Linked DNA regions of Coturnix japonica. The protein of the gene in region 2 purifies or fractionates together with the protein of the main gene of each other region. This does not show direct contact. Links are inferred from orthologs where the notes say so. Each region holds a gene or a part of one and is shown on either strand. Other genes may lie near its edges.

Region 1 (9,837 bases), on a different chromosome or scaffold from region 2:
CCCTCCTGTTCCAAATTAATGCTGAGAAGTAGGTTTCTCTTTCCTTTACTTGTAAACTGTAAGGTTTTTGAGATGGGGGAAAAAAATTGTGATTTTATTTTACCTATATTTGTATTTTGTGGGAAGGATTCCTTGCCCTAAGTGTGAATCTGTGAAATTATGTGGATCTGTTTCAGCTGGTGGTACAAATTAGGATAGCTAATGAACTTATCCTAAGGTATGTAAAGTTCTCAAATAGATTATTTAAAATCAGTTTGAAACTCCTTGTTCAAGGCTTTCCCCAGTTATGCACTACTTAATGTGAAGCATATTTTTCAACTGTATATTGCATTAACCATATAAAGAGTTCTTTTGATTTTTGGTTTCTGTGTACATGTTAGTAAATGGCTGCCAGAAATCCCAACCTGGAGGTAATTTGTCCTCCTGGAAGGACTGAAAGATGCTTTTATAGCATAGGTGCAGGTGCTGTGTTTTGGTTGAAGCAAATGAAACATGGATTCATAGGTCCAGAGAAGACAAAGGAGAAGAAGATAATTGTATGTTTTTTTGTTGTTACTATAATCAGTATGTAAGTGACGTTATTGTTCTGCAGCCTTGTTCTCTGTCATGTGTTACAACGTGCTGTGTGATAAATACGCTACCCGGCAGTTGTATGGCTACTGTCCATCTTGGGCGCTGAACTGGGAGTACAGAAAAAAAGCCATTATGCAGGAAATCCTGAGCTGCAATGCTGACATCATAAGTCTTCAGGTAAAAGATATACTGTTATTTCTTTTCCCCTTCCAATTCTCACGTGCTGGTTTCTCTGTATTAAATATATTTGCTGTAACTGGTATGTTTTTCAAAACCCTCTGAAAACAAACAAAGAAAAAAAAGAAGTGGTGTTCAGAGCAATATTTGCTGCTTGACATCAAAAGAATGCTTTTCAGCCCACACAGTTGGGATGTGAACCAGCAGCTGCTGATCAAAGAAATGTATGTGGGGGTGTCTGTGTGTGTGCATGTGAGGGTATAATTGACACATTTTCAAATATAAGGCTTAGGATAATCATAACTCTGGGGATTACAGAAGTTCATTTATATTTTCTTCTTAAAACACGAATATTGCTCTCAAATTTGTATTCTCCAGTGTACTTAATTCTTAGGAATTCTTATGTTTTTTTTTTTTTTGTTTCTTTTTCCTTAATTCTAATTTGAAACTGATTTACACTTCTGAAGAGTCTAAATAATATCAGTCTTGTGTGGTTTGGTAATAGTAATTCACTGTGTGCTGTGTTCTGACTTTATAGGAGGTTGAAACTGAGCAGTACTACAGTTTTTTCCTGGTAGAACTGAAAGAACGTGGCTATAATGGATTCTTCAGTCCAAAATCTAGAGCTAGGACAATGTCCGAACAGGAAAGAAAACATGTCGATGGTTGTGCAATATTTTTCAAAACAGAGAAGTAAGTGATTTGGTTTATTAAGCTTTCCATTGCCTCTTGTTCTTTTCTACACGATTTCTTGGGTCATTCAAAAGTCAAAATAGTTTGCCACCGCTCACCCTTTCTTGTAGCTGTTTGGTTTTAACAAGTCAAGAGTTCAGTAAATTATGCTTCAAATGCTGTCATTACACATTAAAGATGTTTGCGTTTTAATTTTTATTTAAAAAATATATTAAATATCTCAAAAATGAATTCTCAAAAAAGAAATCTCAAAGGCTGAATTCAGACTACAAGTGGCGGTCATGGCTTTCCTTCTGTCCTTCTCCTTCGATTCCTTTTGTGTACACAGCGATGCCACAAGCAATTATCTAGTTGCTATTAAACCAGCAAGTTTGGACTAGAATCTTATGCAGAATGAAAATGAAGCACTCTTTCAGTAGTTGCTCCTTCTTTTTAAAAAATAAATGTTTTCATTAAAATCAGCTTAATATCTTTAAACAAACAAAGAAACAACTAGGAAAACAGTATCCTTTTGATTTCAGCAAATGATTTTTATGAAATTATAGGATGGGCTGAGACTTTCTCACTGTAAATGTGTTTGAGCTTAATTAAGAGGTGAATTTGTCTGTAACATTTCCTTTGGTGGCTGTCTACTGAAGGAAGTGTATACAATGTTCCTCTTTCAGATTTACTTTGGTTCAGAAACATACTGTTGAGTTCAATCAACTGGCTATGGCAAACTCGGAAGGCTCAGAAGCTATGCTGAACAGAGTTATGACAAAAGATAACATTGGAGTTGCTGTGTTATTAGAACTGCGAAAAGAACTGATAGAAATGTCATGTAAGTGCTGTTTAATATTTGATTGTGCGGTATTTTATCAATTGAAACAAACCAACCCTATCATCGTTTAAACCATACATCTTTTCCTTAGACATACAGTGTTCAAACTTACATTCACCCGTTAAATCCAGTTTCCTTTTTACTGCAACTTTGTGCTGGAAAACAAACAATGAAAGCACTGCAGTTTGAGGGATTCTGCTTGGAGATGTGTAAAGGTATCAGAGAACGAGTTGATATTGGATTATTCCTAATGCTTAGAATTGACTAAAGCACTGAGCACTCAGTAGTTACAAGAGGAGTTGTGTAGCCCTCTTAAGCTAAATGTTAGTAATCCTTTTCAAACAGCTGGTATTTTTTTCCCACCCTCAAACATCTTGTTTAAAATCAAACACAGGTAAATATGATGGTATTTTCTGTTGCTGGCTATGCAAGGTAAATATTTAATTTTAAATTTTAGCTGGAAAGCCGCATCTTGGGATGGAAAAGCAGCTTGTTCTTGTTGCTAATGCACATATGCACTGGGACCCCGAATACTCAGATGTGAAACTCATTCAGACTATGATGTTCCTATCTGAGGTAAAGAACATTATTGATAAAGCTTCTCGTAGTCTCAAGCCTGGTGTTGCAGGGGAACTTGGAACCATTCCACTCGTATTGTGCGCCGATCTCAATTCTCTGCCAGACTCTGGTAAGAGCACTATTCCTGTTGTTATTGTTTTATCAGACTATTTCAAGTGTGTAGCAATCCAAATGTCTCAATTTTTAATGGGATTTTTAACCCAGCGAATATATTGTTTGATATTGCAAGCTCTGAAAAAGTGCAAAGAGAATAAAAAGATGGAACTGCTTCTTTCATGAGTGACTTTTATTGCCTGCATAGTACTATAGCTCTACTTTTGTTTTTCAGAATCATTTTGATTGTTGTCCTAAAATATAGGAATGGGAAAGAAGAAAATGTCTTCCAGAGTAACTGTCAATGTTACTATGTTGCTGATGACTGGTTTATTTTTTATAATTGCTTTTAAGTGTGAAAATATCTGTTCTCTTCAAAGTTGCAACCATACAATCATTTTCTACTGCTCAAATGTTTTAGGACTTCTAAAACTCAAACCATCTCCTGTGAGAAAAGGATTCTTTAGAGCTCTTTAATAATGTGTAGATTTCTTTGTAGCAAACTTTATAGACTTTAAAGTCTATAAAAACAGCAGATTCAGTGAACCCTTTCTTGACTATTTCTCAGGTACCCAATCTGAGTAGTGAATTTGAGGACCACCCTTTCTTATTGTTGCTTACTACATGCTGTTATCTCCATCCCTAGTCCACCTTCCTTCTGGCCTCTACTTGGCAGCATCTTAGCCATTCCTATCAACCCTAACCTGATGCTATTGCCTAGCAGTGCTGGCAAAGGGATTCTCTGTGATGCCAAGAGGGCAGGTATTGGTGGCGCTTACTGCAGTGGGCAGTTTTTGTCTGATTGTGCCTTCAGAACACTTGGTCATTTACCTTCCTGAACCCTAACACGGATTAAGAGGCACAAGTATAATTTGTTTTATCCAGGCAGTAATCTGTTCTGCTTTGTAGCCTCTTGGCTTTCTGGAGTCATTTTAGCCAAGCGGGGTTGAAAGCTGAGATTTGTGTATGAAGATGCCTACCGAGCACCTATGGAATTCTACTTCCATCTCTTTTGTTTTCCCCAGTCCTCTCAAGACAGTCTATTCTATTTACTTTACTATTTTTTTTCTAATCAATGAATCTGTCTTTGTTCTAGGTGGCATTTGCTCTTGACACACATAGACACTGTCTCACAATATCTCTTTAAGATCAACTGCTGAGTATATTGTGTGTACTTATATAAAGCAGAAAATTGCACATATGGCTCCAAGTAATCCATGCACAGTTGCTGAATGCTTGTTAATACCTTATTGTGTATGTGCCTCTCCTAATAGGTGTTGTTGAATACTTGAGCACTGGCGGAGTGGAAACAAACCACAAAGATTTTAAGGAACTGAGATACAATGAAAGTCTTACTAACTTCAGCTGTAATGGGAAAAATGGAACAACAAATGGAAGAATTACACATGGTTTCAAGTTGAAGAGTGCCTATGAGAATGGTCTAATGCCTTATACAAATTACACGTTTGACTTCAAGGTAAGGACTTTACTGTTGCTTTGGAAAAAAAATTTCCATTTTTTAAGTTTTATTAGTGGAAATGCAGTTAGTTAATTGTTTAACAAGGAGGTTAATGTTTAGGTAAGTCTATCAAGTTCATTTAAAACAATCAAAGCATTTAGCAAATAGAATGCCTAAAATTTCCGTCTCCTAGAAATCGAGTTTTCCTTTTTCGTGTTAGTTTTGTAGTAGATCTGCAAGAAAAAGGGCACTGGTTTCCTTCCCTTTAAATAAGATGCTGTATTCTAATAATACAAGCTTAATCAAATACTGGAATTTGAATGGATAATGTGCCAGTTCCAAGGAAATAATCCATGCCACTACTGGAAAAGAAAGATGGCTCTGTTCTTGAAGTTACATTTCTCTGATTTTGAGGCTTTGTAAGAGAATGGAAATTACAGCCTCCAAAAGGAGAGCAGAATGATGTGGAGAGGAATTTGTTTCTCTAATCTGTACTGGGCTACCCACAGGACAGGAAATAGAAGTCTCCTAAATTGAAGATAAACTACAGCAAAGGAATGATAGCATTGCAGTTACTCCTAATGCTGAATTCACCTTTTGTTTAGGAAAAAAAAAATAACTTGGGTAAAGATAATGTACTAATATTGCTATCTCCCTTCTTGTTTTAGGGTATTATTGACTACATCTTCTATTCTAAACCTCAGCTAAACATACTTGGCATTCTCGGACCTTTGGATCATCATTGGTTGATAGAGAACAATATAAGTGGTTGTCCCCATCCACTCATCCCTTCTGACCACTTCTCACTTTTTGCACAACTGGAGCTTTTGCTGCCTTTCCTGCCTCCTGTAAATGGAATCCATCTCCCTGGCAGGAGGTAGTTAAATACATTTTAGAGGGTAACCTCAATCAAACTTGTACAATTGTAAAATCTGAATATAGAGGAGTGAGGTATGGCCAACAGGGATTTTTTTTTTTTCTTAATAATCTTAATCTTAAATCTAATTATTTGCTAAAGACATAGTAAAAGCCAGGTGCTATCAACAGACATAATTCTGAGCCCACTATACTTTGTATACTGTCGACAGTGATCGGTGCATTTGCACCTTTCTTTAATACGTTGCAGTTAACCTTCCTGTTTCTTTTATCCAACGTGACGTTTTCATGCCTTGAAATAGGGAATTGTTATACAGTATATTCTCTTTGCACAGTTATCTGTAGCACTACTTTTTTGAGGCCAGTAGGAACATCCACAGAACACTCTTCCGTACTTCACTCCCTCCTTTTTCAGACTTGTTTGTAAAATATAGAATTTGAATTTAGCCTTTATTGATTGTATATGAACAACAGAAAACCTGATTTATGAAATTTTGTACTTAAAAAAAAAAGAAATCAGATTTGGAAAATGATTGTATTGTAAACTAAGGCTAAATTTTTATCTGTTTTCATGTGTTATAAAGGCCAGCTTGTAAAAGAGGTTGTCACAGGTTTTCTCTGCTAACGATTTGCACTGTTAGGGTTTTGTTAGCCCTTTTGTACTACTTTCTATGTTCAATTGAGAACGTTGCTTTTAAAATCCAGATCTATAAAATTTCAGTATCTTACAGAGGACTAAATACATTCTATTGATCTCTGATTTTAAAAAAGAGAAAAGCATGGAGTTCTCACAGAACATATAAGCTAAGCAGTGAATATAAGTAGACCTGTATGCATTGAAAGTTATTGCAGATGTGTATACTCTCAGATATTTTTCTCATCTCTAACTTTTGAAGTAAAATGTAGGGATACTTGTGTATAGCTTCCTCATTTCTGTTTTAATACCTGTCCTATCTCCACTGTGCCTGCTTAAATTTGTTCTCAACTAGCACTGCCTGTGCATGCAGAGAGAGCCTGTGCATCCTCTTTTATGTTTTTTAAATAACGTTAACACTTGTGAAAATTTTATGAAGATACTTTTGTATAAGCTGTGGCATCTTCTTTTTTTTCCTTTGTGAAGCATTGGGTATCACACTCTGAACGTGTTCAGGTTATGGGTACACAGTTTCTAGCTTCTAATACCCATGCGCTGCTTCTTTCAGTGTCATTGCACAGCGCTCTGTTTCCCACTAAGAATTATCATGTGAATTCTCCTTAGTTTGAGTGTGTTCCTCAGTTTCAGAGTATAATTCCTTGATGAAGAAGATGAAACCCTTCCATTTTCCATTGATGAAGCAGTGTAGAAATAAATGCGTTTTTGAAGCAGGTCCCAAAGACAATTCTTCAGATCATTTTTAAAGTGACCAAGTCTTATTTTTAAAGTGTCAAGACTAAAGTTATTGTGTACCCTCAGTGCCATTTGTGTCACGAAGCCAAGTATACGAGAGCTCACAAATTTTAACTTGTGTATTTGTATTCTATGAGAGAGACGTTATCGTCTCCTTAAACTAATACAACACAAATAATCAATGTAAAAAGTGAAATAAATGGAGATAGAAAGCTTGATCTTAAACAGCTTTTGTTTCAGCTGCGGGCAGGGAAGCAAAAGGACACTGAGCATTAAGAGAACTTTCTAAATATTAAAATTTTTTATATATATGCGAGAGTGGATTGGTAACAGTGATTCAAAATCGTATTAAAAATTAGGAAGCACATAAGTGTGCTCAGACCGTCTGTTTGAAGCTGAAGGTGAACGTGGCAAACAGTTCGGATGTGAGAAATGTACATTTTTAAATTGCAGTAGAAGAAATTCTGATCTTGAATCCTTGTCTGGGACCTGATCTCTTGGGGTTATTTTGTTCTCGTTTTAGTTGTGAAGACACCAAACGCGTCCAGTTTATAATCAGTACATTGAAATGCTGGTAGTATTGCTGTAGTAAACTTAATGCGTAGTGTTATTTTTTTTTTTCTGTTTGGATTTTTTCTTTGTTTTCTTTTTTGTTTTCTTTTTTTTTTTTTTCTTTTTGTTGGTTATTATTATTATTATTTTTTTGTAAAGTGTGAATAAAAAGTGTTTTACTCATGTTTCCTTAATGATGTCTTGGTAATGTACATCATGACAATTTCCAGTGACGGCGAGCCCATTTAGCTTGTCCAGCTGAGCAAACTGTTTTTCTTTTCTGAGGATCTGGATTGTGTATTGAGTCCAGAAAGCTTTACAGAAGGGGAAGGGAAGCACTTATTCATTTTGTATTTCTTAGGGGGGGGGGTAATTTGCTTTAATAGATGCTGGAGCTTGAGTGCACTTGTTAGATTCAAAAGGTTTGAGCTTTATCCAGTATGTTTTCTCCTATATTTCTTAGTCTTAAAGAATATTTGAATTTATTACATCATTAAAATGTGGCCCGTTGTGCTTTTGGAGACACAGCTGTCCCTGTTCAGTCACCTGGCAGTCTAAGGGTCCATGTAAGTAACCATTTCAGCTTTTATACTAGTCTATCAGATCCCAACTGAAGACCCACTGAATACATGTAAGGCACTCCTTTGACTTCACTGGGTTTTAACTGGACTACAGTGGTCACTTGAGAGAGGAGGGAATGAGAAATAGTTTGAGTACAGGGAAATCACAGAAGGCGCCAAAACGGAGCTGAGATAAACTTCTAAAGAAAATACATTCGTACGTCAAGCAAATGTAACTCAGAAGTCTCGATTTCCAGCTATAGCATAGAATAAGGCAATAAATCTTGTCTTCACACAATCAAAACGTTTGCTTCATAGTTTTTTGACTCAAAATGATTGTTTGCAGTATTTTATTGGAGGTGGTTTGGGGTGTTGCCATAATGTACTTTCAGTGTTCATGTTGTAAAAGCACGTACAGCAAAAGTCACAGAACATCAGTGGGACTCGCTGAGGTTTGAGCAGGCTTTTTTCCCCTTAAAATAAGGTCGACCGTATCTTGTCTACTTGTATTTACATTTACAAAGAATTCTGGGATTCGAAATGTGAAATTGAGCATTCCTTTAGCTAAGAGGATTGATTACAAGGTGAATCCACAAGCTACTACTTTAGAATGACATCAGTTGGGAGGGGCGGAGGGGGAAGGCAGATAAGTCAGTGTCAGTGCATTTTGTAATTATTTTGTCCTTTTAGCTTTAAGAGAAAATAATACATTTGGCCACCACCTGGACAAAAGTGAGTTTGTTTAGAACATTGTACGTAGGCATCTTTGGTGTAACTTTAGCAAGTCTCTCAAGTTTGGGTGTTTTGTGTTCTTGTTTGGTTGGTTTTGGTTTTCTTGAGCAGACTTAGGTTATGATTTGCTTTTTCAGCCACAAGGTAAAACCTGTATTGGATACAAAAGAATTACAATGACATTGGAAAAGGCAACTAATTACACTGTAAAAATAGTACTAATCAGTTAACTGCGTAAGTAGCAAGCCTTTCTCATCCTGCCGGTCACAGTATTTTTTTAGTATGTTAACTGCTATTCTTTTCTTTTGGTTGCATAAATTTGTAACACTTAAGTGTCTTGGTATGTTTAAGTAGTGTCTAAAATAGAGTATCTTAGTCTTTATTCACAGTACTTCTGTATAACGTGTAATGCACTGGACTAACTCTTGTTTACCATTCATGTAACAAAAACCAGCACATTATCTGCACTAAGCTCAAAGAATGTTGCATTTGTCTATAGGCAGCTCTTCAATACGATAAATGGGAAACTGAATATGGTCTGATGGTAAACAAGGGCTTTTACTGTTCTCTTCAGTGGAACTTTCTTCTTGGTCAAATTTTAACTAGTTAGTATTATATTTATATACAGGGTCTTCTTTTTCCTTACCAATGTATTTTCCTACTCATAGCTGACCAATAAATCCAATATCTGTTTCAAACCTTCTTGAAGTCTAACTCATATTTTAACTTAGTTCTGAAAGCTTTTCCTCGAGGTACTTTTGTAGCCAAAGTAAGTGAAGGATGTCAAGGGTAAAATGGAAGCAAATAAGCAGCTGATGATCCCAGGAAGTCTTTCCTGTACTCCTGAGGACCAAAAACCTTTGAATCAATTGGGCTTGGATTGCAAAATCAAGAACTGGTTAATAATGCCTCCAGACTTTGTGGAAAATGTGTTCAAACAAAATAAGAAGCCTGTGATCTTCTGACCAAATTAGACTGCAGCTCTGTGTCTTCATATGTGGCCATCCTCTGCTCTTCACAGTAAGGTGGGTTGTATGGCAGTGCAGGAGCCGTGGGTTTGTTCTGTGACCCATCTCCTTCCTACCCCAGAAAGCCTAAGTCAGACTTGGGATCTGGCAACAGGAAGGAATTCAGAGGTTCCTTTTTTCATTAATACACCACAGAAGAGGAACAAAGTGAAGATTTCTTTCATCTTTTCGAAATAAGATTCAAGGTAACTTTTGTCCTTCCTTCATTTTATGATGACGTGATTTCTGCAGTATTTTCTCCTGCGTCGGAGTGTATACAGGTTGTAATGGCCACAAAGGTTTCAGTGGCCAGAAGTGCGGTGTTTTGT
Region 2 (10,402 bases):
GCTCAGGACTTCTCTACCCACTGGAGCGTGGTTTCATCTACGTTCACAAGCCACCAGTACACATCCGCTTTGATGAGATCTCCTTTGTCAACTTTGCCCGTGGGACCACCACCACCCGCTCCTTTGACTTTGAGATCGAGACCAAGCAGGGCACACAGTACACCTTCAGCAGCATAGAGAGGTGGGCACGGAGCGAGCTCTTACTGTAACACAGGGCTGTTCTCTGTCCTGCCACTCAGCCCCCTTGTCCCTGTGTCCTCCATGTTGGTTACACGTGGTGGATCCTTACTGATGTAACAAGGTGTAAAAAGCTCAACCTGTCCCTGACCACTTTGTCTCTGCTATAGGGAGGAGTACGGGAAGCTCTTTGATTTCGTCAATGCCAAGAAACTGAACATCAAGAACCGAGGCCTCAAGGAGGTACCTGCTGCACAGGGCTGGTTCTCTGTGCCCTGCTAGAATCAGTGGCCTGCAGGCTGGGGTGGGGAGATGACTTGGGGCCTTTTTTCTTCTCTCCAAAGTTTTGCTGCTTTTATTCCTTTTATTATTATTATTTTTCACCTTTCTTTTCTTTCCTTACCCTTGTAGAGGAAAAAGGTCCGTGCGATACCCCTTCCTCTTTCTCCTTCCTCCTCCTGGTGCAGGTTTCCTCTGCATGGCTGTGTTGGTCTCTGACTAAACTCAGTAACTGCAGCATGATTTGCAAGAGGGGCCCCCACCTAACTCAGATAACACCTTTGGGAACCTTTCCTGCCCCTCTCTGCATCCCTGATGAGAAGACAGGGAGACAGATGGGACGCTGTGTGTTTCCCAGCCTGGCCGTGCATGCTTGTAGTTTCTAGAGAATGGACTGTATGCAGATGTGGTCAGCATGGAGAGCAGCTCTCACTCTGTCCCTCCTGCAGGGTATGAAGCAGAGTTATGACGAATATGCCGACTCTGATGAGGACCAGCACGATGCCTACCTGGAGAGGATGAAGGAGGAGGGCAAGATCCGGGAAGAGAACGCCAACGATAGCAGCGATGGGTCTGGAGAGGAGACAGGTACGTGCTGGGGCTGCATGTGAGCCTCACTGCCTGAGGGGCTGCCTGGTGTGCTCAGGCTACTTCCTCCTCTGGTTGAATCCTGCTGTGTTCCTTGGCTGTCTATGCTCACCCCACACTCTGTCCTTTCAGATGAGTCGTTCAACCCTGGGGAAGAGGATGACGATGTGGCTGAAGAGTGAGTAGTAGGGGCTGGTCAGGAGTCTAACTATGGGCAGCTTTTGGAAGATGCCATTTGTAGGCACTGTGTGGGGTGGGATGGGGCCGTGAGAATGTTGAGGAATGCGTCTGATGCAGACAGTATCACTGAAAATGGCCTTGTAAGTTGGTGCGTTTCTGGTCTGTCTCTCGAGTTCTCTTGATGAGAACTGCAGTCTGAACAAGCGCTCAGGGGCATCGTGTGTGCTGATGGGAGTCAGGTTCAGCCCAAGAGGAGGGGTGGATCTTGGTGCCGTTCAGCTGTGAGGCATTGCAAATGCCTAAAGTTTACGGGAACTCAAAATGATCAGCCATGTTCGTGGAAAGAGAGTCCCCTGAGGGCTGTTAAGTGCAAGCAGAACAGCTTCAGCTCAGGAAGTCTCCGATCTGCAAGTTGCTGGAGGATGGGAGAGTTCAGGGGCAAGTCTTGCTCTGTGCTTGCCACTGCTACGACTCCCTTACCTCCTGCTTCATCTTGCTGGAGTTGAGATCTTGAGCTTTCCCTGAAACCAGGTCTCTTCACACAGGTTTGACAGCAATGCCTCAGCCAGCTCCTCCAGTGGGGATGGTGACAGTGACCGAGGTGAGAAGAAGCCAGCCAAGAAGGCCAAGATTGTCAAAGACCGCAAGCCCCGTAAGAAGCATATGGAGGTGAGAAGTTGTTGCTGGTAGAGTTGTGTAGATCAGGACTCACTGCCCTTGGAACATGGATTGCTGCTCCTATGTTTGGAGCAACACCAGATCCAGGTCACAGCACATCAGCTGAGCTGCTTCCCGTTAGCCTTCTGCTGTGGTCTGATCCAATCCCACCACCTCATTGTGCTTTGCTGGGTTTGGGTTGTCCAAGCCTGGCTCTTCTGCTTCCTGCAGGCTTTACTTCATCTTGCAGATGAGTCTAGATTGAAACACTTACAAAGTATATTGTGGTGTCTGAGCCTGGCAGTACCCTCTGATTGTTGGAGGACTTGCCCCCCACAGGTCCTTCACATCCACTCCACTTACTCTGTGGGTGCTTTCACCTTTGTGTGTGTGTGAGCTGACAACTCATCTGTCTGATTAAGTAGCTGAGTTACGGGTGGGATGCAGGAGGCATCATCTTGGGGTAACCAATTAAGACTTTAGTGTGTGGGGTATTTCAAGTCTTGGTTCTTTCCACTTCCTGCTTTCCAGAGCAAGAAAGGCAAAGACCCCAACGCGCCCAAGAGACCCATGTCAGCTTACATGCTTTGGTTGAATGCCAACCGTGAGAAGATCAAGTCAGACCATCCTGGTATCAGCATCACAGACTTGTCCAAGAAGGCTGGGGAGCTCTGGAAAGCCATGTCTAAGGAGAAGAAAGAGGTGGGTTGCTCTTCCAGTGTGGATTGCTAAGCCGTATGTAGGAAGGGAAGGTGGATGTCAGGATGCTCTTGCTTGGTCTCGGGATCCTGCTGCTCCATTAACGGATCAGGAAGGGAGGGTGGCAGTGGGGAGCTGACATCTCAGCTGGTGTGTGAGTAAGGTCTCCAGGTGGTCAGGGACATGGGTGGAGATCGTGTTGGACTCTGGTGGTGCAGATGCTCATGATGGTGGATGGTGTGGGAACAAAGTGCCACTTAACCTGCTTTTGCTGCAGGAATGGGATCGCAAGGCAGAAGATGCCAAGAGGGATTATGAGAAGGCCATGAAAGAGTACAGCGTGGGCAATAAGTCAGAGAGCTCCAAGATGTGAGTATGCTGAGCAGACAAGAGGGATGTGGCAGGGCTTCACTGTTCTGGAATCTGTCTGTCCTCAGCTGCTGTGGTGGCTGGGCCTCTCTGAGGCTGGGGGATTGTGAGATGGGACCAGTGAGCTGTCAGCAAGGTAATGCTTCTGTCTCTTCCACCCTGCCAACACACACACAGGGAGAGGTCTAAAAAGAAGAAGAAGAAGCAGGAGAAACAGATGAAGGGGAAAGGGGAGAAGAAGGGTGCTGCCTCCAAGTCTTCGTCCTCCACCAAGAGTTCTGCCAAGAGTATGAGTGAGAGCTTCAAGAGCAAGGAATTTGTCTCCAGCGACGAGAGCTCCTCTGCAGAGAGCAAGAAGGAGGTAGTAGGGCGGTTTGGTGGTGGGATTTGCTGGGTCTTATTTTACCTCATCCCTACAGGCATATATTCTTCCAGATAGCATGTACATCCAGTCTTGTAGCAGAGGACTGAGTTTGGTCTTTGCTATTGGCAGAGGAGCAGGTGAACATGAGCTGCTCTGCTTCTACTGTCCTGACTTCCCATTTCTTCCCACAGGACTCAGAGGATGAGAGAGGCGCCAGCCCGGCCCAAAGCTCAGAGGATTCCGGATCCGGCTCGGATTAGTTCTGTCCCCGCTGGCTCCAGGCTGGTTCCCAGATCAGCGTGAGGACTGGGTGGGCCGGCCCGCAGGAGGGGTCTGGCTCTTGGGCTCTGGCTGGCTCCGAACCTGCCTGGCCGCCCTTCCTCCTACCTCTGCTGCCAGGTGAGGGGAGGCACCGGAGTGGGGACAGGAGGGTGCCCAGCTTCACTGCTTGAGCCCTTTCCCCTCAGTGCCTGGCTACAGAGTGAAGCCCCACAGAGGGGAGGCCCAGGAAGGAGCCTCGATCCCACTTCTGCCCTGTTTCTCATCAATTTATTTTTTTTAAATACTCGGGTTTGTTTCGGTCTCTTATTTTTTTCCTTTTTGTATGTTGGGTCAGTTCACATGGCAACTCGAATTGAATAAAAAACACCCGCGGCGGGACTGCAGTGTGGGTGTGGAGGTGGGGGTGGGCCGGGCTCCTCTTCCCCAGGGGCACACGGTGCTGGGATGCCTTCCTTCTAACATCGCCTTTCTCCCGGCATCGCCTCGGCCTCCTTGAACCGCAGCCAGGGGCTGAGCTCACTCACAGCCCATCCATTAGCAGCCGGAGCCCCTTCCTGCGGCCTCCCTAATCCTGTTAGTCTCCATCAGCCTCCTAATGGAGGGCCGGCGGTCGATCCCGATGCCGTGCGGATGTTCTCTGTGCCCTGGAGGGCCGCACCGTGCCTGGGGGTGGTGGTGGTGATAGTCATTTCATCAGCGTTCCTGCTTGACCCCGGCATGGCGGCCTGGCTGCGAGTCAAAGGCTGCAGGGGAACGGGCTCGGGGAGACGGGGCTCGGCCTGGCCGCCCCCTCTGTAGGTCACAGCCGGTTTGTGGGGCCGCCGCACCCCGGGGTTCCCCTCTACCGCCCTCTCACACTCAGGCCCCGCACAGCCCGTGCTCTATGGCCGCTGGAGGTGCCACGCGGCGCCGCTCTAGTTCTCCGCTCTCTCTGCTCGGCCACGTGGGGTGGGCGCGGCCCGAGTGGGGGCGCGGTGGGTGGGGAGGGGGCGAGGCCATCGCTCATGAATATGCAGCGGCGGCGGCGGCGGCGGGTGAGCGCGGGCAGGGCGAGGGGTCACGGCGGGAGCGCGGCGTGGGTACGGTACCGGAACGGGGGAGGGGCGGCGGGCAGCTGGGTGGGGTTATCTGGGCACGAGGGTGGCGATGGGGTCGGGGTCCTTGAGGCCGTTCAGCCCGTCGTGCCCGGCGGGGCCGAGGCTCGGGCTGCGAAGGACACAACGGGCCGCCCGGCCCTTCGTGCGGCCCCTCCTCGCCGATGGAGCGGGGGGCTCCGTTTCCATGGCGGCGCTCCCGGGCCCGCCCGGCCACTCGAGCGGGGGCTGCGTTACCGTGACAACGCGGGCAGGCCCCGGAGGATGGGAGGGGGGAGGGGGCACCCCTGTCTCCCTTCCCCCTTCCAGCCCCGTTCCACACCTCCCCCCCCCGCCCCGCTTCCCTTCGCCTCGTCACCGAGCGGGGCCTCGTCAGCATCCCGGGGCTGCCAAGGGGTTGGGAAACAGCCTCGGCGGGGGGAGGAGGGGCGGGAGGGGGGGGACGATGGCTTCCAGATGTGCCCCCTCCGGTTCCGTTTGGCCGGGGTGGGGGGAGCCCGAAGAGAGAAGGGGCCCGAGGGGAGAGGGGGGGGGAAAGGGGGGACCCCGCATCGCGAGTGGGAAGGAGGGAGCGGGGAGGAGGCGAGGGGAAGGCAGGGCAGGGCAGGGCCGCGAGGAGGAGGAGGCACGAGCGAGTTTTTCCTGTCCCCGCAGCGCCAGTGAGTCACGGGGAGCCGTGCGGCCACGCCAAACCGGGCCTGGGCATCGCGGCCCGCTCCCCTCCAGCCCCAGACCCGGCCATGAGGCGACCGAGGGGCAGGTGAGGGGGGGGCGACCCTATAGGGCCCGACGGGGCTGGGGATCGGGACGTGGGAGCGGTATGGGCTGACGTGGTGTGCGGAGCACTTCCGTGAGGGAACGGGCAGCGGGTGGGGGGGCTGCCCCAGGTGTAGGATGGGGGGTCGGTGCGGGTGGACGAGGGGCTGGCACCGCACACAGAAGGCAGCCCAGGTGAACAGGGCTGGGGTGCACATATTTACTGAGGTGTGCAAGGGACTGGCACGGTGTGCTCTATGGTTGGGTGCTGCCGGCGGGTTGGGGCAGTGTACAAAGGGTGGTACGGCCGAACGGAGGCTTGGCGGTGAGATAGTGGGTTGGCACGGTGTGCTGCACTGGTATAAGAGAGTGGGAAGCCAGCAGCACAATGCAACATGCTGCAGGTACAGCAGGGACCGGGGGCACCAGGGTGAATGGGGCAGCAGGCCCCAGTGGACAGGGTGGACTAAGGTTCTTCCGTGACGTTTCTCCCCTCTCTCTTCTGCAGGGGCTGACTGCACGCTGAGTCTGCTGAGCATTAGCTCCGGCTTCACCATGGCCTCCCAGCCCCAGTCCCTGCACCCCCCACTGCCCTGTGCCTCCGGGGGGACCGGACTGGCGGCTGGCAGCTCTGAGAAAGGTGAGAATCTCCCTGAATGGCTTATATGTGTTTTTAACCCAGAGTGAGATGTCTGCAGGTGTTGTTGTGTTCTCCAACTCCCCATGTTTCTCCTCGTCTTTCTCCCACAGGCAGTCCTCGCCCCAAGCCTCCTGTCCGGCCCAAGCCCCGTGTGCTGCCCAAGCCAGCCGTGCCTGCCAAACCCTGCCTGCCTCACCCCCCACCAGCACCACGGCATTCTCGTCCTGAGCTGCCCTCCGCAGAGAAGATAAACCGCCTGGCAGGCCCCCAGCCGTACAGTGGGGGTGGCTCTGGGGTGGCCCTCAGACGCCCCTCTTTCACCATCAAGTCACCTGAGACCCTCAACGGGAAGGGGCTCCCATCCCCACCAGTTTTCACTCCTGAGGACTCGTGTTCAACCCCCAGTGATGAGGTGCCCCCGGCCCCATCGACGCCTTCCCGCAAAGGTCCAGCTCCCTTTAAGGTGACACCAGTGCCTGTGGCAACCAAGCTGGAGCGATTTCCAGGCACCACCGTGGAGGAGATTCTGGCCAAAATGGACAGCAAGGAGGGAAGCCCTGACCGGGCCCGCATCTCTCCCTTTTGCTCCGATTCTTCTTCTCGCTTTGGCTCCAAGATCTTCACCGCCTTCCGGAGACGCCCTAGTGGGGAGGCAGATGGAGACTCCCCTGGTGAAGCCCGCCAGCTGCTCCAGCAGGCTGAGGGAGAGCTGGGGACAGGGGGTGACAGATGCCCGATGGTTGAGATGAGGTGAGGGGCAGAGGATCGGTCCCAGGGACAGGGAACCATGGGGAAAGCATCGGTGGGCAGTTAGAGATGGAACTAAATGGAGCTGGAAGGGACCTGAGGTCTGGTCGCCAGTACAAGGCTGTTGTTCCTCCTAACCAACAGTGCCTTGAGCCGCCTTCGTGGGAAGGCTTGGTCACCCGCGACAACTCTGGTGGTTTATTAAAACCACAAGAATGGGCCGGCCCAGCTGAGGAACTGCCTCCACGCTTGCAGCCATCTGGGACTGGAACCTTGCCAGACAGCACTCCGCTGCCCAAGCAGGGAATAACGGGGGGTTACTGCCCCTGGGAAATGTTCCCCCTTTTCTCCACTCTATTTTTTTTCCTGCTAGTTCATGCTAGAGCAGAGAGGCCTCAGATCTGTGGGACTCCTGGCTGCAGGAGGGGCTGGTTGGAAGCCAGCACTTGGCTGTGCTCCCTAAAGCCGGGCACCTCTGGGAGCAGGGCAGGGGCTATTTTAAACCAGAGTGTGAGAAACTTGCACTCCAAAGGATGAAAAACTTTCCAGAAAAGGGGTTGTAGCTGAATTGCCTTTGCAATCCTAACCTACCCTGATAATTCAGGGCATGTTTCCAGTGCCCCTTACAGAGAGTTAAGGGTTGGTTGTGGTCCTCGTCCACATCCTTCTGTGGCCAGAGCCGGATGGTTTGGGGTTGGGAGGTGTGTGCTTGTGGGAGGAAAAATGGGTTGCACGCCATATTTACCCCCCTACCTGTTTTTCTCCAGCAGCATCTCCTCCCCAGCTGGCGCGAGCTGTGCCGGGGACCCCTGTGGACTCTGGAGGCCACCATCTCCCCCTGACGTGAGTTCTCGCCGCACCCTCCTGCGTCGCGGCCACTCCACTCCTGGGCTCTCTCCTTCGGGGCTCTCCTGTCTCCTCCGGGGCTCCCTCTCTGCGGGGTGCGTGTCTCTCCTTTCTCCTTTGGGTGCCAACTGCTCTGGGGAAGGCAGGTGACTCCACTGCAGCCGCAGCTCCCTCACAGGGTGCCCAGGTGCTGGGCTGGGCTCTTGGAACAAGAAGTGATTTTCAGTCCTGGTGCCAAGGTGGGGACAGGGAGAAGCTGTGAGTCACCAGCTGAGATTTGGTGACCGGGCAGGTATGTGGTAGGCGGGCCCATTCCGCTTCCCTGCCGTGCCCCCTCCCCATGCACTGGAGTGATGACAGAGACACCAAAGGTGGCAGAACTGCTGTGGAGCATTAACCCTTAACAGTTCTAGTCAGGCTTGGCCCACCCTTATCTGGGTGATGCTGGAGTGTCTTGAGGGTGCCCAGGCCCACGCGGGGACGATTGGGGTGGTTGTATTTTTATTTCTTCTTGCTTCAGTTCTTCCTCTCCATGTCTGTCTCTGCACGTTGATGGTTGGTGGGCACCAGCAGGGCTGCTGAAGCAAGGAGCAGGGCTCTGGGCACTGCTTGGCCCTGTCCTGAAGGGCATGCAGCTGGAATGGGAGCTTCTGGGAGCTGCCAAGGCTGAGTCACACAGGAAGCAGCTCTGGTGCTGGCAGGATGTGTGGGCAACTCTTGCCCATGGGGTTTAGGGGAGATGGGGCTAGGGACTATGACTGTCACTGTATGTTGGAGCTGTGCTGGCAGAGAGGACCTGAAAGCTGTGGCTGGGTGATGCCTGGGAGGTTCCCCTTGAGTGACTTGACTCCCCTCCCTGTTCTTCCTGCAGCTCTCCTCTCTCCAGCTGGGACCCCCTGGCTCCCCAAGATCCCCTGCTTGCCCACCCCCAGGAGCTCCTTTCCAGCCTGCTGAGCCTTCTGCTGCAGCCCCCGGTTCCCCTGATGCCCCTCCAGAACTGCTGGCCCCTGGCTCCCCGACCATGGCTCTTGAATCCCCCAGATCTCCAGCTCAGCCTCCAACTGAGGAGCTCTTGGCCACTTCCATCCAGGCTCCAGGTGCTCCCTCATCTGTGGCTGAGCCCTGGCTTGGTGCCTCCCGCTCCCCGGGCTCCCCACACACCCCCAGTGAGGGATCTCCCACTCCTGCCAGCCCCTCCACACTGGGCGCACCCCAGCTGTCCCCAAGAGCCACCTGCCCCCCTGGCTCTCCTGAGTCTGCCACCCAGCCATCACCTTCCCCGAGCCCGCCCCCTGAGCTCCCTGCTAGAGCTTCTCGCCCTCCTGGCTCCCCTGGGGGTCCTGATGACTCCCCCGTGTCCTCTCGGACTCCTGAAGGTCCTGATTTCAGCCCTCCTCCCTCTAACAGAGACTCGGGGCTGCGGCGCTCATCAGAGGGGGTGCTGCGGCCCCCTCCCAGTGAAGGGCAGGGCATGGGGTTGCTTGGGGGCTCACTGGGTGCCCTGCCCCAGCCCGGGGACCAGCCAGCAGAGCACTTGCTGAGCAGCGAGTCCAGCTGGAGCCTTTCCCAGTCCTTTGAATGGACATTCCCCACACGGGGGGCAAGGGGGCTGCCATCCCCACCCAGATCCCCCATCCAGGAGGCAGCTGACTCTGGGCTGTCTGAAGAAGATGAGTCGGACAGGGAGGGTGCAGCTACTGGATCCCATGGGGACAGCGGGGACGCAGATGGGCCTGGCTTTGCAGTGACAGGCAGCTGGGGAGCTGAGGGGGCTCCGTGCCCAGGGGGTCCTGTGGCTCAGCAAGAATCTGAGAGCTCGGAAGAGGAGGAGGAAGAAGAGGCAGAGCTGGACAGCACCGAGCTCCACATAGTGGAGCCCATCTTGGACCCAGCTGAACCTGAGCCCCCTGTCAAGGCTACCCCACCAGATCCAGCCCCCACTGAAGCTGACACCTGGGAGCCAGCAGATGAGCCTCCTGCAAGCCTGCAGGGCCTTGGAGGGCCAGGCCAGGATGAAGGCTCCTCAAAGGGCCCCGATGCCCACGCTGACCCACGCTGGCTGACAGAGCTGCTGGCATCACCCAGGGCCCGTGCATCAGGACGTGACCCTCTGAAGGCTGAGGAACAGGAGGTGAGGGAGCGCGTGGCTCCGCGGCACCAAGGGTTAACGGGTTGCGTGCAGCGGTGCGGTTGCGCTCCTTTTGGTGCAGCAGAGCTGTCTGACGAGTTGGGTGGAGGCTGTGCAGGAGCATGCGGTGCCTGCGGGGAGAACTGGGGTGGGGCTGGGAGCCGCGTGTGCGCTGGAGAACCATGGCTGGCGAGTCAGAGACCATGGCCATCCTCCGGAGGCTGCTGGCCAACCTGGAGCTGCGGGATGAGCTGGGGAGGGCTCAAAGTGCTGCAGGGTGGGAAAGGCCCTGGGCAGGCACGGTGGCTGTAAGTACAGGTAGCTCGTGAAGCTGGGGGGGATGAGCAGTTGGGACCTGGCCTTCCTTTGGAGAGGAGTATTGTTGGATATCCCCCAACCCTTTTCAGATTATCCTCTGCAGTGTTTCTCTAACTCTTTCTCCTCTGTTTGACTCTCCAGGGTCTGCTTGGCTGGTCACGGAAGGACCTGTGCAGTGAATTCGGTATTGGGAGATCTCATCAGGCTGGTGCTTTTGACTGGAGCCATAAGGCTGTGGCCAGACAGGGGGACTGGCCTGGTGAGATGGAGCAGGATCA
Region 3 (9,843 bases), on a different chromosome or scaffold from region 2:
GTTAATCCTTCTGCATTACGTGGCGTATTTACCTTCAGAAGAAGAGATCTGACTTTATTTAAAATGATACAATTTGTAGGGCTGCCTTCAGCTTCTCTCTGGGGGAAGTCACACTTAGCAATTCATACCACTGACTACATCTTCCTTATCTCGTGGCCTCTGCACCTGGATAACTTGAGAAGATCTCAGACAATACAGAAGAGCAGTGCTCTCTTCTGTTGTTTCTTCTTATTTTTTTTGAGGTTCCAAGCACACAGAAGATGTGTTTGTTGCCCAAAACATCTCCTGAGTGTGAAAGCCTGCAGTGCACTGTGGTGGCTTGACACTTCCTTCCTCAACAGACCACGCTCTTCACATCTCCCCTGCTGCTGCTACGTGATGCCTTTTTTGTTGTTGTTTTAGTTGATAATCTATGCACTATGGTCTCAGATCCAGATTTTCTTTACACAATGTTAGTGCCATACTGTTAAAGTTAGATTTTTAGTGGAGAGCAAACTTTAATAGCTTCAAAAGTTTCCCAAGGGATCTCTTAGGAAGAAAAGGAGTCGAGGATTTTTTTTTGTCCCTCTTCAAAAGACAAGAAACAGAGTGCACGTATCCTGCTCCTATCACAGCCCTGTTAACTGAGTTTCAGCAAAGGCCTCGCTGAACTCACCCACAGCTCAGGCTGTCCTGAACCTGTGCTGCTTCCGTCCCACTTTATCCTTTTGATGACGCTGATGCTCATCCAGTTTTGGGGTTAAATGATGCAAGGAACTTGGTCTCGCTCCCTGAAGGCTGAGCAAAAATAGATGGGGATTTTTTGGTACTGGTTTAGTTCCAGAACAAGCAGAGAGGGAGATGGGAACCAGAGGAGCTGGGAACCCAGGCAGAATTCATTTTTGCTTCAAAAAAACCCGTATGCAGTGGCTTTCAAGTCCAGCTTCGTGTTGCTATTATGCCGAAGAAACAAGCGTATTTGATTTAGGTTTGTTTTCCCTTTCCTGTAACTGTGGAAATCATATTGATCCTCATTTGACTCACAACTATTTCAGAATAACATTACAGTGACTAACATCTGAAAAATGTGCGTGGCGTTTGACTCGCAGTTCAGGGCTCATTTCATTGGAGGGCCTCCGACTGCCACAAATTGCTTTAAATTGGCAGAGCTGTTCTCATAACAAGCGATATTTCAACATAATTGAATTGGGTTCCCTTCCCCAGAGGAAGCAGTACTCCCAAAGATCTCTGGAGATGTCACCCCACTGGTGGTCACCTCCTGGCCCACGGGCAGGTATGGTTGCTCATGGAGTGAGTCAGCCAGCCTTGCCGTGAGGGCCCTGGCGTGTTTGTTTGACTTCTGCCTGGTGGAGAGGAATGGAGCTGGGGGACTACTTTAGGGAGCTTAAAAACAGGAGGGAAACTGACTTTTTACTTGCTTAGATAGCAATAGGACAAAGGGAAATGGTTTTCAACTAGAAGAGGGGAGATATAGGTTAGATGTTAGGAGGAAAACCCCTTACTCAGAGGATGCTGAGGAACTGGCACAGGCTGTCCAGAGAACCTGTGGATGTCCATTTCCTGGCTGGAAGAGGCTCTGGGCAGCCCCGTGTGGTGGGTGGCAGCCTTGCCCACAGTGGTGGAGTTGGAACTATATGATCTTTAGATCCCTTCCAGCCCGAGCCTATCTGTGACCCAGCAGTGGGGCTGCTCGGCAGCTGGGGCAGGCCCCAAGCCACTTACAGGCTGTGATTCAATGCTTATGACAGCAAGGTCCCACAGCTGGACCCAGCCTACCCAAGCTGCCGGCCATCTGTGTCTGGCTAATGATGAAACGGCAAGCAAACAATTCATTCAATACAAATCATTCCCTGCTTGCCTTTTTAACTGGCAAGGTGCCTTGAAGCTCATAGGAAGCAGCCGTGTCCAAACCTTTGGCCAGCAGTGTGCGGCAGGGCGGGTGGGTGTATTCCGTGTGCAGATACTGAGATTTCCATCTCTCTGGGTCTGCTATTGCTATAACATTATGCTGAAGCAAACGGGAATGCGAAGGCAAGCACAGCCCATCCCATAGAGCATTCACTCAAGTGCCGTTCAGAAGCAAAGTTTGTGATGCTGCAGCTGTCCCAGGGCCAGACGTGGGAGAAGAAGAGCTGGGTTTCAGAGGCAGCAGATTAAGAAGCAGAATGAGGACCCGTCCTGGTTCAATTCAAATGTTTGATGATTAAGACTTATAGTTCCCAAAAGCTCTCTCTTACCATAAGCCCTTAATCCTTTGTTGGTATTCCACTTGATTTTCACCGCAGAGCCTTTCGGTTCCCCCCCTTATAATCCATACTGTGCCTTACGGATGAAATACATGCTGCCAGGTAATGAAATCTCATTTTCTGTTAAAGGATCCTTGCGGGTAATCCTGTGACAGTGACACGGCGTTACCCACTGCAAAACCAGCTGGCTGCTTTTTGGCGTGGATGGATTTGCTCTCTTTTGTGCAGTTCCTGAATCGTTAGGGCTGCGATCCTGCTCTGGGCATATATCCTGTCAAATCCCTTTGTGAGGCCAAGGGCTTCCGTGCATCCATGTGTTTAACAGTGAAAATAAATCCTGTGAGAAGAAGAACTGGAAATTTAGGACTACCAAAGCACAGCCTGTACCTGCGGCTGTACTGGGCAGTGCTGCTTCTGATTTGGGGATTTAAGCCTTTCAGGTCTGATTCTAATCTGTTTCATTCATCTCCTCAAACTGCATTGCTACAGCTGAGCAGCGTGAGCAAAGAATCCTCTTACACCACAGCTCTTGTGCCATCTGACTTCACCTGTAAATAGCAAGCCACTATGATTAGCACTTCTGTCTGTGCCTTCTGTCTGTCCCTGGAAACAGACAGTCTGAATTCAGCATGAATGGGATTCCCTTGCATGGTCATTGGAGGGCGAAGACATAGACCTTTAACTGGGACCTCTCAAGAAGGGCAGCTCTTCTCTCTCTGTGGAATGCCAGGGATCTTTCCTGGTTGGAAAAACAGCAGTGCTTTAAGCTCAGCTCACAGAAAAGATGAGTGCATTAGAAGGGAACTGAAAGCCCACCCAGCCCCTACACTGTACCATGGGCTGGGCTACCCCCCAGTTCAGCTGCCCAGGGCCCCATCTGGCATGGAGCACCTCCAGGGATGGGGCAGCACAGCTTCTATGGGCAGCCGTGCTGCTGCCTCACTGCCCTCTGAGTAAAGGATTTCCTCCTAACACCTAACCTGAACCTGCCCTCTATTAGTTTAAAACCATTTTGACTTGTTCTATCACTATCTGCCTGTATAAAGAAGTCAGTCTCCCTCCTGTTTATAAGCTCAGATTTTTGTGTTTCGGCAGTTGGATGAGCTGAAGAAACCTTGGATGAGTTTCCTCAAATTCTTCATAGGTTTCTGTCTTGTCAGTTCAGCAAACCAAACCAGTTATTGTTATTTTAAATTATTCACAGCTATTGGAATCCATTGTAAAAGAGACATGTATGAGGAAAAAAATGCATTCTGGATAGCAGCTGCTTTGGATTGGTGTAAGATTGAGGTTTGTGTGTTTTGTGTGTCTGGGGAGGAGGAGCGGGGGGTGAGAAGTGGTGAACACAGAAGTCAGCTAATCTTGTGTTTTTAAACCAAACAGATCCTCTCTCCCTAAGAATTCTTAGTGCAATGGTCTGATGAGGTATGAAGGGGAACCTCTGTTTGTCATCCATAAAGTGCACAGCTTTTGAGTTCTTATGCCAAGAATCTGGAAAGTGAGATCATTTGGATGTGTGTGTGCAGGCTTACCCTGCGGGCACAAGTACCTGGATAGTTCAAGTTTTGGATTGGGATGAAGCTCTGTTTGTATCACTGAGAAAGGGAATTGTACCCAAACTTACTTTAGATCTTCCCAGCTTCTAGGAGTAAAAAGGTCTTGATTGATAGTGAGCTTAGAAGAGCATAGAGCAGAAAAGCTAGATGGTTGATGGGAAAAAATAAGAGCTAATTCCCCTTCAAACTTCAAGTTTTCTGTAAGTGAATGGAAAAGGAGGATTTTGCATGTTGAAAGCAATTGCTGTAAAAATGCAGTTGTTATTTCCTGTGAAAATGAAGTGAGGGAGAAGTCTGCTCAGATGGATGAGTGAAATGCCATCACCTTGTCTGCATGTTCTGCTCACAGCAAGTAACTCAGTGATGATGGAGGTCATGCTTTGGTCTAGGGTATAAACTAAAAATCCAGAAATTCTGCTTTGGAAGTGTACGAGGGAACACTGTAGAAAACCAGATTCTTCAGGGAAAATGCCTTTTTCCATTACAAGTCCATGTTCTGCATGGGTCTGAGCACCTGCTGAGCTCCATGCCCTGAGCTGTTTGGCTGGTGATAACATTCAGGCAGTCACGGTTATCAATGTCTTTCAGACTAACAGTGATGCCAAAGGAAAAATATGATCCTCCCGATCCTCGCCGAATTTACACCATCATGTCAGCAGAAGAGGTAGCCAATGGAAAGAAGTCTCACTGGGCTGAATTAGAGATCTCGGGTGAGTTGGTTTGCGTTTGAATTTTGGTTTGGCAAATTTAAGAGCTTCACAGCCCAAGGGCTGCATCGGCCACTCTCAGGTAGGGGGTCCTGCAGTGAGAACGGTTTTTCTACATTGAAAAGAATTATTAATTAACTTGCCAGATTGCCTTCAAGCTTTCATGTGAAACACAAACAGACTGGATGTGCGGTCTTAGCAGCACGTTGATGTCCCAGACCTCTGTCTCTGTCTCTGCTCTCTTAACCGGGAGGGTCAGGGAATTGTTTAGGAGCTGCTTGTGGATAAGATGCATGTCACACGTGGGTTGTGATGGTTGGAGGGAGTAAAGCTGACTGAGGAGGTGCTTGGTTTTCTTTTTTAGGTAGAGTGCGGAGCTTAAGTACGTCGCTTTGGTCACTGACGCACTTGACTGCTCTACACCTCAATGACAATAATCTTACTCGCATTCCACCTGATATTGCCAAGCTTCATAATCTGGTGTATCTGGACCTGTCATCCAACAAACTCAGAAGTTTACCAGCAGAACTAGGAAACATGGTGTCTCTCAGGTAAGAGGAAGCATTTGGGTTGAATTTCCAAAAAAAAAGTCTGTATTCTGAGATTAGAGATTATTTTAGTTGGATTCATTCTTGTTTCCTAACTCTATTCTTGGATTTAAAACCTGAGAAAAATCAAGGTTGATACAAATGTTCAATTCTAACAATTAATCCTGGTTGTATGATCCTGTTTTCCTGATCCCTACAGATAGCTAACCATAAGCTGGGTAGCATTCTGCTCTGAAACATTCTCACTTTGAGACTTTGTGATTGCCCACTGTTTAACTAGTGTCTGATTTTACTGTGCAGGTTGGTTGTGGTTGGGCTTTTTCTTTCGCTTTGTTTTGTTTTGCTTCGTTTTGTTTTCCTGATGTATTTCAGTTGTGCTTCGAGGATTTGCATGTCTTTGCATAGCACAAAAAATTCAGGGTGAAAAGTGCCACCTTTGAAGATGAGCAGCATCGTGCTGTAAGAGTTATCTCCCAGAGTGACACTCATCAAAAGTGTTTTTTGCTTTGTTGCAGGGAATTGCTTTTAAATAACAATCTATTACGGGTTTTGCCTTATGAACTTGGACGGCTCTTCCAGCTACAAACCCTGGGTTTAAAAGGTGAGCGAGCTCTTCACAGTTAAATATTTCTCAGAGTGCTCTTGACTTACTGAGGGAGTTGTGCTCAGAAGCTTCCTGCATTACCTCAACATTTTCTTACAGTTTCACATATTAAGCAGCAATGACCGACCAGTTTGGAAAATAATGCTTTTTTTAATGATATTAAGGTGCAGTATGAACCTGTTTTAAATCTGTAAATGGGTAGACAAACCCCATAACTTACTTTGTTTATTGATTGAGGTGAATCAAAAGAAGAAAGTCTTGCATGCAAGCTATCTCTATGGCATCTGTTACTGTGGTATTCAAGAGTTACAAGCTAAGCAATCTAAATTCCTTCTGGGTCAATTTGTCTGTTCTCATTACGGGAGATTTTCTTTTATTGGAAAGCCTCAGGAAAATCAGGCAGCTAATCACCCAGTTGTTCTGTGTTGTTGGCAGGCAATCCTTTATCACAAGATATTCTCAGCCTCTACCAAGATCCAGATGGAACTCGAAAGCTACTGAACTACATGCTTGACAATCTAGCAGGTGACAGACCTACAGATCTTGATTGACAGAAATGTTTTAAGAGCATGCATGTCTGACAGTATTTGCCACTAAAACAAGAAGGGTGAACCACAGAGGGGAGAACATTTTCTTACTGCTTCTGTGTTTTTGTTAAGCACTTCTACTCATACACACACACACACACACATGGAGGAAGAAGTACATAGATACTGTCTAAGCTTTTCACCGGTTGCCCAGCCAGTTGTTATCACTGAGGTTTGAAACCCTTCAGTTACCACAAAGTCTTCCTCGCTAAAGCCATTTCGATACTAGAAATTAGAATGCAAACAGAAGCAGAATGTCAAACATAGAAACAAGATTCTGATTAAGAATATCCAGTACCTGTGCCATGGCTCTGTAACCATGTAACCAAACAGTTTTCTGTTTTGCCACTTTGTCTCTCATGTGGTAAAACAAAACAAACTTCTGTCTCTGATGTAAGTTTCCACAGATGGAATTTTAAATGGTTTTGGGATCAGCTCCCAGCTGAGCTTTACAGTGTTGTAAAATGGCTGTGGTTTGAGGTGGCACTTGTTTTATGCCAACTCATGGCAGTCTCTGGCTTTGTAAATGGAGAGTATGCATTGCAGGAATGATGTATGTACAGCAGAGTTCTCAGAGAGGGGAGTATAGGATGTCAAAACAACTACAAGGTTTACCCCTTCTTCCTCAATAATATTTTCAAGGTGCACGTGTATATCCTCATCTTTCATGGAGCTTAAAAAGACATGGGAAATTGGTGTTGCAAAGTACAGTATGGGACATTATTGTTCATTCATCAGTTTGATTTAGAATTTGCAGCTGAGTTAATGGTTGCTTCTTTGTCTTGCTTTTATTTTTAGTTCATCCAGAGCAGCTGCCTCCAAGGCCATGGATTACTTTGAAAGAACGAGACCAAATTCTGCCCTCAGGTAAAACCATGGTTCTTTTCCCTATGTTCAAACAGCGACGTGCTGAAGAACTTTTCTTTGGCTTCTTTTTTCAAAGCCGTCTTCTGTCTTACATGGATCAGATGTAAGAGAGCGATTTGCTTTAATTCATATTAAATAATTAACACATGTTTGTGCTGTAAGTACCATTGCTGTAATTCAGATGGAATGCTGGTCCATTTCTTTGTGTTAGGCAGACTAGGAGGAGACTTGGAGAAGTTGGTCCACAGGACAAGGAGCAGGAGGAGTGTTAGTGAAGTTAGTGTATCGCCCTCTGTTGTTGAAGTTGAGGAAGTTCACGAGGCAATCTTCAGTCTACAAATCCGGTGCCTCTTCCCCTGTAGTCTTGACTGTAACCCTCAAGAAGCATCCAAGAGCTTTTGTAAAGAACAAAAACGCTACTGTTGTTATTGCAGAAGATCAGGTTAATAATCAGCAATGGCGATGTGGAAATCCTCTGCATTTTTTTTTCCGTTTTAGAAACCCGAACATAACTCAGTAGGGCGTTAGGGAGGGTGACACCATAGGTAAGATCATCTGTCCCTTTGTTAAGTTAAAGAACAACAAATCAGAAGAAACAAAACATAGTAAGAAAGGGGAGAGGTACCAAAAGCCTCGTAAGCCACCACTACATTAAGTTCTGCATTTCCAGCATCTCACTGCAGTTTTTAATCCAGCTTCCTTAGGAGAAACACAATTTAGAAGCCATTAGACAGCACCACATCAGCTGAGTGAGCTGTGGGATATTTCATGACAAAAACTACAGTAAGCCAATTGGCTGTGAATTGCATGAAATCAGTTGTATAAAGTTGAAACAACTGAGCAGTGATCTTATTCGACTACAAGCACAAAAAATGCAGCTGTGAGGTTACCTCACAATAAAACCTCACTTCTTTTTCTGCAAAGATGAGCAGTCTTGTTGAAAAATTAAGGAGAGCTGAGAACTTTGTATGTTAAAGAAGTGTGTTTCAGTTTGAATTATCAGCTGCATACAGACTTCTCTCTTTTCTTCTTTAATGTCCCCAAATAATATAGAAAGTGCTTGCTCATTCATTACTTCATTTCTCTTTCTTTTCCTCACCCTCACCCAGGGCACAAATGGCTGCTCCTTTCCATCTCCAACCCCCAAATCCAGAGAGATGGTTCCTAATTGCTGCCTTCCCTCATTCCCAAAGAAATAAAGATTTCACTGCAAAATGGGATTGCATTGCTTTGCTGTGTGTATTAAGCAGTCTCATTTTGGCAGTTAGGAAGAGTTTAGCCTTATAACTGCTGGCTCAGCTGGGTCTTTGTTAGTCCTGTTCATGAAACTCAGTGGAATAAGCCCATGTACGTTCAGAATAAACTGTACAAGATTGAGTGTTTTCACTCTGCAAGTTCAGCATTTGCTGCCTTCAGAGGTTGGTGATATTTCCATCTCTTTGTTTCCTTCTAGCCTCATTCACAGTTATGTGTTACAATGTGTTGTGTGATAAATACGCCACCCGGCAGCTCTATGGCTACTGCCCATCTTGGGCGCTGAACTGGGAGTACAGAAAAAAGGGAATCATGGAAGAAATCGTCAACTGCGATGCAGATATCATTAGTCTACAGGTAACTGGAAAATGTTTTTCATTAGAAATAGAAAATGCTGCAATTTCTGTTCGGTATGGAAGTTAGCATCTCAAAAATGATCTCACTAGGAAACGAGAACTGGCATGTCAAAGTTAAATATCAGTTGTGATTGGTACATGTATACTGCTATTACAAAAAATCCATTGTCAGTGTGCAGAGTAATTGAATACTTCTGCCTTTAAACTGACAGTTTGTTTTCTAAGCAAGGTCTGTATGAGTAAAAATCATGCACAAGAAAAGATTATTTATCTCTGTGCAGAAACCTCAAGAGAGTGCTCTTGGAGATCAGAAGTTATTACAAAGAAAATGTGTTGTTACAGAACAGGGAGAGACCCTGCTGTGATAGAGCTCCCAAAGTTAAATATGAACTGCTGCCGATACCTGTCATCCTGCACAAAGTTTTAATCTAGGACAGTACCCACATTCATCTCTCAAAAGCAGCAAAGTAATCTGTTGCTCATCAAAGTACACCTGGCACTTTCCCTTTCAAGGGGATTCCAGGATATCCAGGAAGGCACATCTGATTCCATTAGGCCATTAGTTGAAGAAGTGACATGACTTGGGCAAACAGAAGCTTTTGACTTTGGTAAGGGCTTCTGATTGCAAGGCAAGACAAGCACTAGCTGTCACATTGGAAAGGTTTACTTGACTTTGTTAACATGCAGTATTTGTGTTCAATTTTAGGAAGTGGAAACAGAGCAATACTTCACTCTTTTTCTGCCAGCCTTGAAAGAACGAGGATACGATGGATTCTTTTCTCCAAAGTCACGTGCCAAAATCATGTCTGAGCAGGAGAAGAAGCATGTGGATGGCTGTGCAATATTCTTCAAAACTGAAAAGTAAGAAGCAGCTCTTCTTAAATACGTCAGAAGTAGTTTAATTTAGGTCTCAAGGTCTCCTCTCAGTGTGCATAAAACAGAAGATAAAGTTCAGTACAAAGAAAGATCCTCCTTCTCCTTTTGCTGCCCTGACTATTTGCAGCAGGCCTTCCCCTTATTTTTTTTCCCCCACACTGTGAACAAAGCTGTATCTTAAGGAACATGAAAGTTAAAGGGAAGGTAGTATGAGTGAAAACATGTATGTTTCACATGTATAT

What was found. Proteins that work in one complex are often made in the same cells at the same time.
Region 1: the proteins of TNKS1BP1 (region 2) and CNOT6 purify together in Homo sapiens (affinity purification with mass spectrometry; 3 studies listed by BioGRID and IntAct, with this or other methods). This does not show direct contact. The link is inferred for Coturnix japonica from reciprocal best matches to the Homo sapiens genes TNKS1BP1 and CNOT6.
Region 3: the proteins of TNKS1BP1 (region 2) and CNOT6L purify together in Homo sapiens (affinity purification with mass spectrometry; 4 studies listed by BioGRID and IntAct, with this or other methods). This does not show direct contact. The link is inferred for Coturnix japonica from reciprocal best matches to the Homo sapiens genes TNKS1BP1 and CNOT6L.

The regions. Positions count from the first base shown.
Region 1 is NC_029528.1:4,243,677-4,253,513, forward strand, and holds the end of CNOT6 (CCR4-NOT transcription complex subunit 6), read left to right. Parts: intron 1-592; coding exon 593-750; intron 751-1,288; coding exon 1,289-1,443; intron 1,444-2,108; coding exon 2,109-2,263; intron 2,264-2,720; coding exon 2,721-2,951; intron 2,952-4,209; coding exon 4,210-4,412; intron 4,413-5,062; coding exon 5,063-5,275; 3' UTR 5,276-9,203; downstream 9,204-9,837. UniProt on the Homo sapiens protein: Poly(A) nuclease with 3'-5' RNase activity.
Region 2 is NC_029520.1:7,742,542-7,752,943, reverse strand, and holds the start of TNKS1BP1 (182 kDa tankyrase-1-binding protein), read left to right. Parts: upstream 1-4,070; 5' UTR 4,071-4,629; exon of another isoform or gene 4,630-4,674; intron 4,675-4,979; exon of another isoform or gene 4,980-5,085; intron 5,086-5,343; 5' UTR 5,344-5,449; intron 5,450-5,953; 5' UTR 5,954-6,000; coding exon 6,001-6,085; intron 6,086-6,195; coding exon 6,196-6,835; intron 6,836-7,599; coding exon 7,600-7,675; intron 7,676-8,549; coding exon 8,550-9,809; intron 9,810-10,265; coding exon 10,266-10,402. Other genes in the region: FACT complex subunit SSRP1, read left to right, coding at 1-181, 348-420, 906-1,044, 1,177-1,222, 1,770-1,893, 2,413-2,583, 2,858-2,949, 3,127-3,310 and 1 more.
Region 3 is NC_029519.1:30,864,778-30,874,620, forward strand, and holds part of CNOT6L (CCR4-NOT transcription complex subunit 6-like), read left to right. Parts: intron 1-4,390; 5' UTR 4,391-4,400; coding exon 4,401-4,512; intron 4,513-4,873; coding exon 4,874-5,060; intron 5,061-5,572; coding exon 5,573-5,658; intron 5,659-6,096; coding exon 6,097-6,186; intron 6,187-7,046; coding exon 7,047-7,115; intron 7,116-8,568; coding exon 8,569-8,726; intron 8,727-9,431; coding exon 9,432-9,586; intron 9,587-9,843. UniProt on the Homo sapiens protein: Has 3'-5' poly(A) exoribonuclease activity for synthetic poly(A) RNA substrate.